2 linked regions of the Stegostoma tigrinum genome follow. The protein of the gene in region 1 interacts with the protein of each later gene in a pairwise test. Links are inferred from orthologs where the notes say so. Each region holds a gene or a part of one and is shown in the gene's direction. Other genes may lie near its edges.

Region 1 (3,753 bases):
GTATGTACTGGAGTGCAATTCCAACACTATGTAAATCCAGTTTAAAGGTGTTTGCGAGTCCTATGACTAACTCCTTCTATTTAGTTAAAAAACACCAACTTTGAACTTACGTATCAGTTTTTATGATCTTGAAATGCCACATTATAAGCAATTAGCTACTTTTCAAATGAAGACATCATTGTACTTTAGAACTTGAAGCTGCCAAATTTGGCAGAGCAAGCACTCACAACCAGCTCACTGATCACGACCACAGAGCCACAGAGATGTACAGTATGGAAACAGATCCTTCAGTCCAACTCATCCATGCCAGCCAGACATCCTAAATTAATCTAGCCCCATTTGCCAGCATTTGGCCCACATCCCTCTAAATCCTCCTCATTCATGTACCTATCCACATGACTTTGTAATGTTCGGATAATTCATTTCCTTGTGTAATATTAGCTGAGGAATAAATAATACCATGACAAAGCAGAAAATTCTCCAGCCCTTCTTGGAAATTAGATTGTGTTAAATTGCCACCTGAAAGAACAGCCAACTGCTTGGTTTGACATCTAATCCGAGTGAAACACACTTTCAGTCGGGCTCTGGACAGTCATCTTTCTTTAGCACCAAATCTTGGAGTACTACGCCTGAACAAGGGCTGACATTAAAATGACAAGGTAGGCATCTTTTTACTGGCATTGGATATGAATGTGCAAAAAACATGTTCACAGCCCACTCTAGTTGCAAAAAACTTTTATGGAAAGCAGGCTTTTTAAAAAGGCACTATTCTAGTTGGAATCTGTACATTATAAGGCCATTCAATGAATACTTTTTTTAACATAACTTGATATCTTAAGCCTTCTCGGTGTTTTGGTTCAGTTCAAGTGTAGCCTATTGTCAGTTCTGGCAACTTATGAAGCCAGTTGATGATCAGCAGTGAAGTTCCAGCTCTTCCCAGCAGGAGGGGCCAACTCTTCAGCCACTCCCTCCAGCAAGTGCGAAAATTGTGAGGCTAGTCATTTGCTGCTGAAGATGTGTGACGGACTCTGAGGTACTTTGAGGAAGATTACTCGCAAACACAAGTAAGTAGATTCTTTGAAAATGAAAGCCTGCATTAAATTACTATTTGATTGGCTTAAAACGACATAGTTGCAACTAGTAAGAGTATTAAATATATGAACTCGTCAGAATCCAGATCATACTGAGAGCGCAGAACAGCTGCGCGGCGAATCCTTAAGGGCTAATGTTGTTGTAAAAACTATTGACAAAATTGGCGCGTTTTGTTGTCCTTTGTGTCTGTTTTTGGAGTTTGTCTTGTTTCGCTCTGTGTTTGTTTAGCCAGCAGAATTAATTTGGGAGGGATAGAAGGGTCGAAGGTGTGTGAGAAGGAGAAAATAACACTTGCCCAGTTCAGAGACTGAGCGAAGACCTGACGGGTCTCTGGTTGATAAAGCAAGCCTATCTCGTGTTTCCAGAATTAATGACGGGGTTAACGTGGGCCCTGATAGCTTGTTACTGTAAATAAAAGACATAAAGCAGTCCCTTCCTTAAGAGCAGGCTGAAACAGCACTGTAGCTGTGAAATATGTAGCTAATTAAACCTATTGGTGTAAACTAATAAAGTATATGTGCCCGTTAGATTTCTTATTCTAATGAATCTGAACTAATTTGCCTTGACTGATGAATTTTCTGTTAGCAGTGGGTAGAATAATTATGAAATTTATCACTCGGCAGCTCATTAGAATCTACCTGCCCATATCATGGTATTTTGTGTGTGTGTGTGTGTGTGTGTGTGTGGTGTGGACTCTAATCATCTATGAACTGAAGCAAACACTCAAACCCTCGCCAATACTGGGCGGGAGCCTTTTCCGAACGCATTGCACTGGGGGATTTCGACTCTTAATACACTTTTACCTCGATCATATTACAGAGAGCAGGGCAATATTTCCCCGCCATTTACCAAAAAGCTCATTAAAGGACAAACAATGAGTCCCTTCCGAGGCTCGCATTCAAGTCACTTCATCATTCTCCCTTGTTTTAATAGTCTCAGCAAATTAATTATTCCATTGTGAAAACCGTATTATTCACATCATTCATTTCACTGAATAGGTTGGCAACTCGGGTCTGGGTGGAATTTAAGGAGAAATTAGAAAACTGGAACAAATCTGCTAGTCAGTAGAGAGAGAGAGAGAGACAGAGAGAGAGAGACAATAGTTCATTAATTGTTAGGGTGGGGGTAGCGTTTGGAGTTTCACATTAAAATCCACGAATACCTGAGATTTTCCTCAGTTTGAGCCCACACTCTCGTCAAACTTGACGAACTCAAACTTAAATGACGCTGAAACTCAAACAGAAAATAATCGCGTTTTTACTTTCGGGCCTTAGAGTGTGCAATAATTGACAAAAGTGTAACTTGAGTTTTTGTGTGTGTGGGTTTTGATTCGGGCTCAGTTTCATCACAGGAGCAGAAAGCGGAGACACAGAGGGAGGGGAAAGAAAGATCCCACGGAATTGGGTCAATAAAGCATCACTGTCACTCATTAGCACCCTCGTTAACCCTGTCAATTTCTAAACTGCAAATACCTGTGAACAAAACGCGCGCACACACACCCACCCACTTTATAATGAAGTAAACCTCTCTTTTGGTCAGCGTCTCTGCCTGGAGCCTCGAACCCTCCGCCCCCTGACTTTCGGACACTTGCAGGCATTTCTGAGTTCTCAAACGGCCTCAGTGACCCATGGACGGAGCTAGCTGATGGGTTAGTAGCTAGGCTGTGAGTGATGGCCGTGACTCCCCTCATAAATCCCCGGGTTCTCCACGTGGATTTTTTTCCCAGGGCCTGGAGGGGTTAGCTTCAGCTCTTGGTGGTGAATGACAGGCCAATAATTCACTCGGTGCAGCCGGTGATAACATCGCAGAGCTACGTTGTGATTTACAGTAACCTCCCTCCATGTGACTTCTGCCTTTGACTGAAAGACTATCTGCCCGGATCTTACCAGCAATAACCAGATTATTTATAACTTGCAACCTTCTTGTAATTAACCGCGGATCAGTTGTATTTAAACCAGATCTCTGTTTCGAAAAGGAAGGGCTGCTGTTAGGTTGGTGCCTGTGGTGATTGGGAACAGTCTATTGACTATGCCTCGCCTCGACGATGTTTTCACTTTACTCACAACGCTTCCGCAAGCAAACGGTTCCCGCGAAGTAACAAAGAAAGCTTATAGCTCACTGTGATTCTCATAGCTGTGAAACGAAAAGTCTTGTTCAACCTCCATCTTCAAGTGTGAGAGGAGCAAGTATTCTCAAACCTTGAAACTGTAATAAAAACAGAAAGTGCTGGAGATACTCAGCAGATCAGGCAGAGAGCGAAAAATAGTCAACGTTTCGAGTCTAGTATGTCTCTTCCATGCATATATAGACTTATAAAATATATCATACAGGATTCTATAAAATAACGGTGTGGAGTCACACGACATCAGATTATAATCCACCAGCGCTGCTCCGAAAGCTTGCGATTTCAAATAAACCTGTTGGGCCATTCTCCAGCATCTGCAGTTCCTACTATCTCTGGACAATAATCTGGTGTCGTATGACTTCTGACTCTATTAAAATAAGTAGTATCTATGATTACATAAAATATTTCATATGTAAGATTATACAAAATACATCATAAATAGATTATGTAAAGCAAATATTATTCCATAATAAATATGCTGACAAATATGATACAAAATTATATAAATTAAAATATGATTCTAATGAAATAAAATT
Region 2 (3,753 bases), on another chromosome or scaffold:
AAATCTCCCCTCCCCCCACTGCATCCCAAACTCAGCCCAGCTCATCCCTGCCTCCCTCACCTATCCCCTGCTCCCACCTCAAGCTGCATCCCCATTTCCTACCGACTAACCTCACCTTTGACCTGTCCATCCTCCCCAGACTGATCTATCCCCTCCCCACCTACACTCACCTCTACAGGCTCCATCCCTGCCCCTTTAACTTGTCCGTCTCCTCTCCGCCTATCTTCTCCTCTGTCCATCTTTGATCCACCTTCCCCTCTCTACCTATTTATTTCAGAACCCTCTCCCCATCCCCCTTTTCTGATGAAGGATCTAGACCTGAAACGTCAGCTTTTGTGCTTGTACTGCCGTGTTCATCCAGCTCCACACTTTGTTGTCTCGGATTCTCCAGCATCTGGAGTGCCCATTATCTCCACAATCTGCCATGGTGGGATTCAAACCTTGGTCCCCAGAACATTAGATCTGAGGAAAGGTCACTGGACATGAAAGGTTAACTCTGTTTTCTCCTTCAGATGCTGCCAGACCTGCTGACATTTCCAGCAACTTTGTTTTTGTCTCCAGAACGTTAGCTCAGTTTTTGAACTAATATGGGAGGTACTGTCTATGCAGTCTTGGTGAACATGCAGTGCATCCTCGATATATTCTGCTGCAACTGAGCATCCGGTGGGTAAAAAGAGCGATGTTTGTGGCTGTGGTGCCAGTCAAGTGGGCTGCTTTGTTCTGGTTGGTGTTAAGTTTCCAGTGTTGTTGGAGCTGAACTCAAGCGATTGCCGTTATGCAGTACTGTAGTTTCTTTCTTGCATGCACCTCTGAAAAGATTAAGGGCAGAATCCTATTTACTCTCACGGTTTGTATGAAGTTAATTACCACTGCTTAATTAGGATCAAGAGCTGAAGAAGTTTGGAAAAACAAGTTTGTATACAGTGACGGCGTAGGATTTGTAATTTACTGCTTTAAATACAGACTGAAACGCAGGCACCGAAGATTATTTGAAAGCAGAAGTAAAATCCTGCAGATGCCAGCGAAATGAAATCAAAACAAAACAAAACAAATGAAAACAGCGAGCGATGAAGGAACTGGCCAGGGTCCGGTGAAAACCCACTGCTGGACACCACGGACCGCTTGCTGCGCTGTAAATTTTCACAGATGCTGAGGCTGTGTTGTGGTTGTGTCATATTGTAACGAATCAGTCGGGTGGACAAAATACAAGTGTGAGAAACGAGTAGGGCGAATTGATACAAGTCGCTCGTGCGGACGAAAGCATTTGCAAAAAGGTTTTGGGTGCCTAGACGTGGGTTTGCCGGAGCGGCTCGGGCTCTGACCGGAGATTGCCGAATCCGTTCAGAACCGTCCGCCGAGTTTGGGGGGAGTGAGGATACAGGGCGCATGCGTCCTGGGAGCCGCCATGTTGTGTCCTTAAAAAAAAACGGGGATCTGGGTGACGGGGGAATCCGGGAGGGTGAACGATTGAAGCAGCACGGCCACGTCCGGCAGCTCAGATGCGGCTCGGAGAGTCCAGGGGTCTGGGGTGATCAGAGCAGCTGAGAGCCATCTCCCGGACTCTCTGAGAAAGATCGACGCCAAGCTGTGGTAAGTGAGGCCCGATCCGGGGGCCGGAAAACTTTCTCTCCGGCTCCGGGGCAGAGAAGGCGGGGATCCCGAGGCCCAGGATAGGCCTAGAGTCGCTGAACAACAGTGTTCGAGTTGGCAAGCTTTTCTTCCACAGTAATGTCTCTGTGCGACCATTAACTGAAGGACAGTTACTATGATGTTTTATAAGAAGCATTTTACTTAGACTCAACGTGTTATTGGCTGCTCTAAAGGAGCATCTGGGTATTGTAAACATGCAGGGGGTGGGGGCGGCGGAAGAGGATCCTGATTTACACAAACGCGCAATTTTTCTTTTATATAGGGTTTTGAAAATCTGTATTTCATTTTGTTTTAATTCTTCCCCCGATTGAAGTATTTAACTGTGGTGCCGGGGTGTACTAAGGGTTTGCGTGTTGAATTAAAGCTTTCCAGTTAGTTGCAGAGAAGTCTTGTGATCGAGTAGTTGGTCTGATTTTTATGTTTTGACAGAGTTTTGTTCTCTCCCATCCTCCTCGGCCGGCGTTGAGTAGATGCTGTTTAGAAATATTACTATTTCTTTCAAAAATCTTTGAACCTAAAATATTAACAGATTTTTAGGTTACACAATCTTATCTGCCATTAAAATGATCCACATGAATAAGATCAGTCTTCTCCAGCGTGAGTGGATTTTTTGAAAGGTGGAAGATTTTTTGTTTTGACGAATAGCCAATTAACTTTCTGGTTATGGAAATAGTAAAACAGGATAAAAGATTGTACTGCAAACTATTAGTATCAGTCTGATGCCTTGTAATGAAAGCTAGACTTGACTTAAATTTTGTCTTATATTGTTATAGTGCGGCCGCTTTTAGCACGTAAATGCAAAATGTATCACTCGAGAGAAACTGGACTTAGAACTTAAATTCTGTGAAAAGAGATAATTTTACGGCCATGCATGTTTCCTGAATTTAATACAAATTTTTGTGAATATTCTATTAAATACTTCACATAGTGTGATAAAACATGCATTTTGCTTGGAACTTCAAAACACTAACATCCAAGTAACTAGTGAAGGCATCCCTGCCCTGCAGTCTATCAGTTGTGATATTGCTGATATTGAGACTGGAGGTTGTTGAATCCATTTGGAGTTGGCCCTGGAATTGTGCTTATCAGTCGTCTTCATAAGCTGTAAAGCTTGGGCTTCTATGTTTTGAGTTAGTCTGTTTACTCTCCAACCATTCTCCAGTTTTGAGCAGGTTGATCACAATTGAACTGGCGTAGCAAAATCTCTTGTACTCTGGTCAGTGTTTTTTTTTGCTTCAGAATTTTTGGTATATTTTTAGCAGCATTATTCCATAGATAGTATTAAGTCAGTCATTCACAGTTCTTAAATGATTTTCCTGCTGCCAGTTTAGTTTGTTTTATGCTGGTATCAGTCCAGTACGCAGAACTTTATTTGCTTATCCAAGTGTAGACCTTATTTAAATTCCATTATATTTTCTGATTTCTAAATAATCCTTTACTGTCTATGTTCTCACAATTTCACTGCAAGCTAATTTTACAGACTTAGAGTTTTGATAGAACTTTGGATGCTGCAGAGCTAAAATAAAATCAAAATACTGGAAGTACTGAAGACTGTAGATTTCATGTTTGTTATTCATGTTCATTGTTTGTAATCTTGGTCCAATCCTCGTGAAGTACCACTTGATACTGTTTTAATAATGTGTGGAGCAGGAAATGCTGCTTTGCCTGCTGTGTTCCTCCAGCTCCACACCTTATCTCGGATTCTCCAGCATCTGCAGTTCCTATTATCACTGTTCTAATAATGTTGTGGAAGTTAACTGATTCCCATCATTTAAATCCAATCTTCTATGCAGTCACACACCCTGCTGTGGATTTCTGTGGCTTCTTCGATTGGAAATTTGTCAGACATCATGTCCAAATACATGAACAAGAGCAAAGTACTGCAGATAATGGAAATCTGAAATTAAAACGCAAGTATTCGATAGATCTTTATATAGAATGAAAAAGTTAATATGTAAGATTCTTTACCAACTCCCACAGCTAACTAGAATACACCACTTCTCACCCACCTTCCTGCGAAAAGGCTATCCCCTAATCTCAATTCCTTCGCCTCTGCTACATCTACTCCCGAGAAGAGGCATTCCACTTCCGGACATCCTAGAT

The links. The genes of interacting proteins can lie anywhere in the genome.
Region 2: the proteins of lmo4 (region 1) and mothers against decapentaplegic homolog 4 interact in binary tests that used the Homo sapiens proteins (3 or more experiments, as listed by UniProt). The link is inferred for Stegostoma tigrinum from reciprocal best matches to the Homo sapiens genes LMO4 and SMAD4.

The regions. Positions count from the first base shown.
Region 1 is NC_081361.1:90,465,262-90,469,014, reverse strand, and holds the start of lmo4 (LIM domain transcription factor LMO4), read left to right. Parts: upstream 1-973; 5' UTR 974-1,064; intron 1,065-3,753. UniProt on the Homo sapiens protein: Transcription cofactor. Plays a role in establishing motor neuron identity, in concert with MNX1, acting, at least in part, to disrupt LDB1-LHX3 complexes thereby negatively modulating interneuron genes in motor neurons.
Region 2 is NC_081354.1:158,000,488-158,004,240, reverse strand, and holds the start of mothers against decapentaplegic homolog 4, read left to right. Parts: upstream 1-1,372; 5' UTR 1,373-1,590; intron 1,591-3,753. UniProt on the Homo sapiens protein: In muscle physiology, plays a central role in the balance between atrophy and hypertrophy. When recruited by MSTN, promotes atrophy response via phosphorylated SMAD2/4.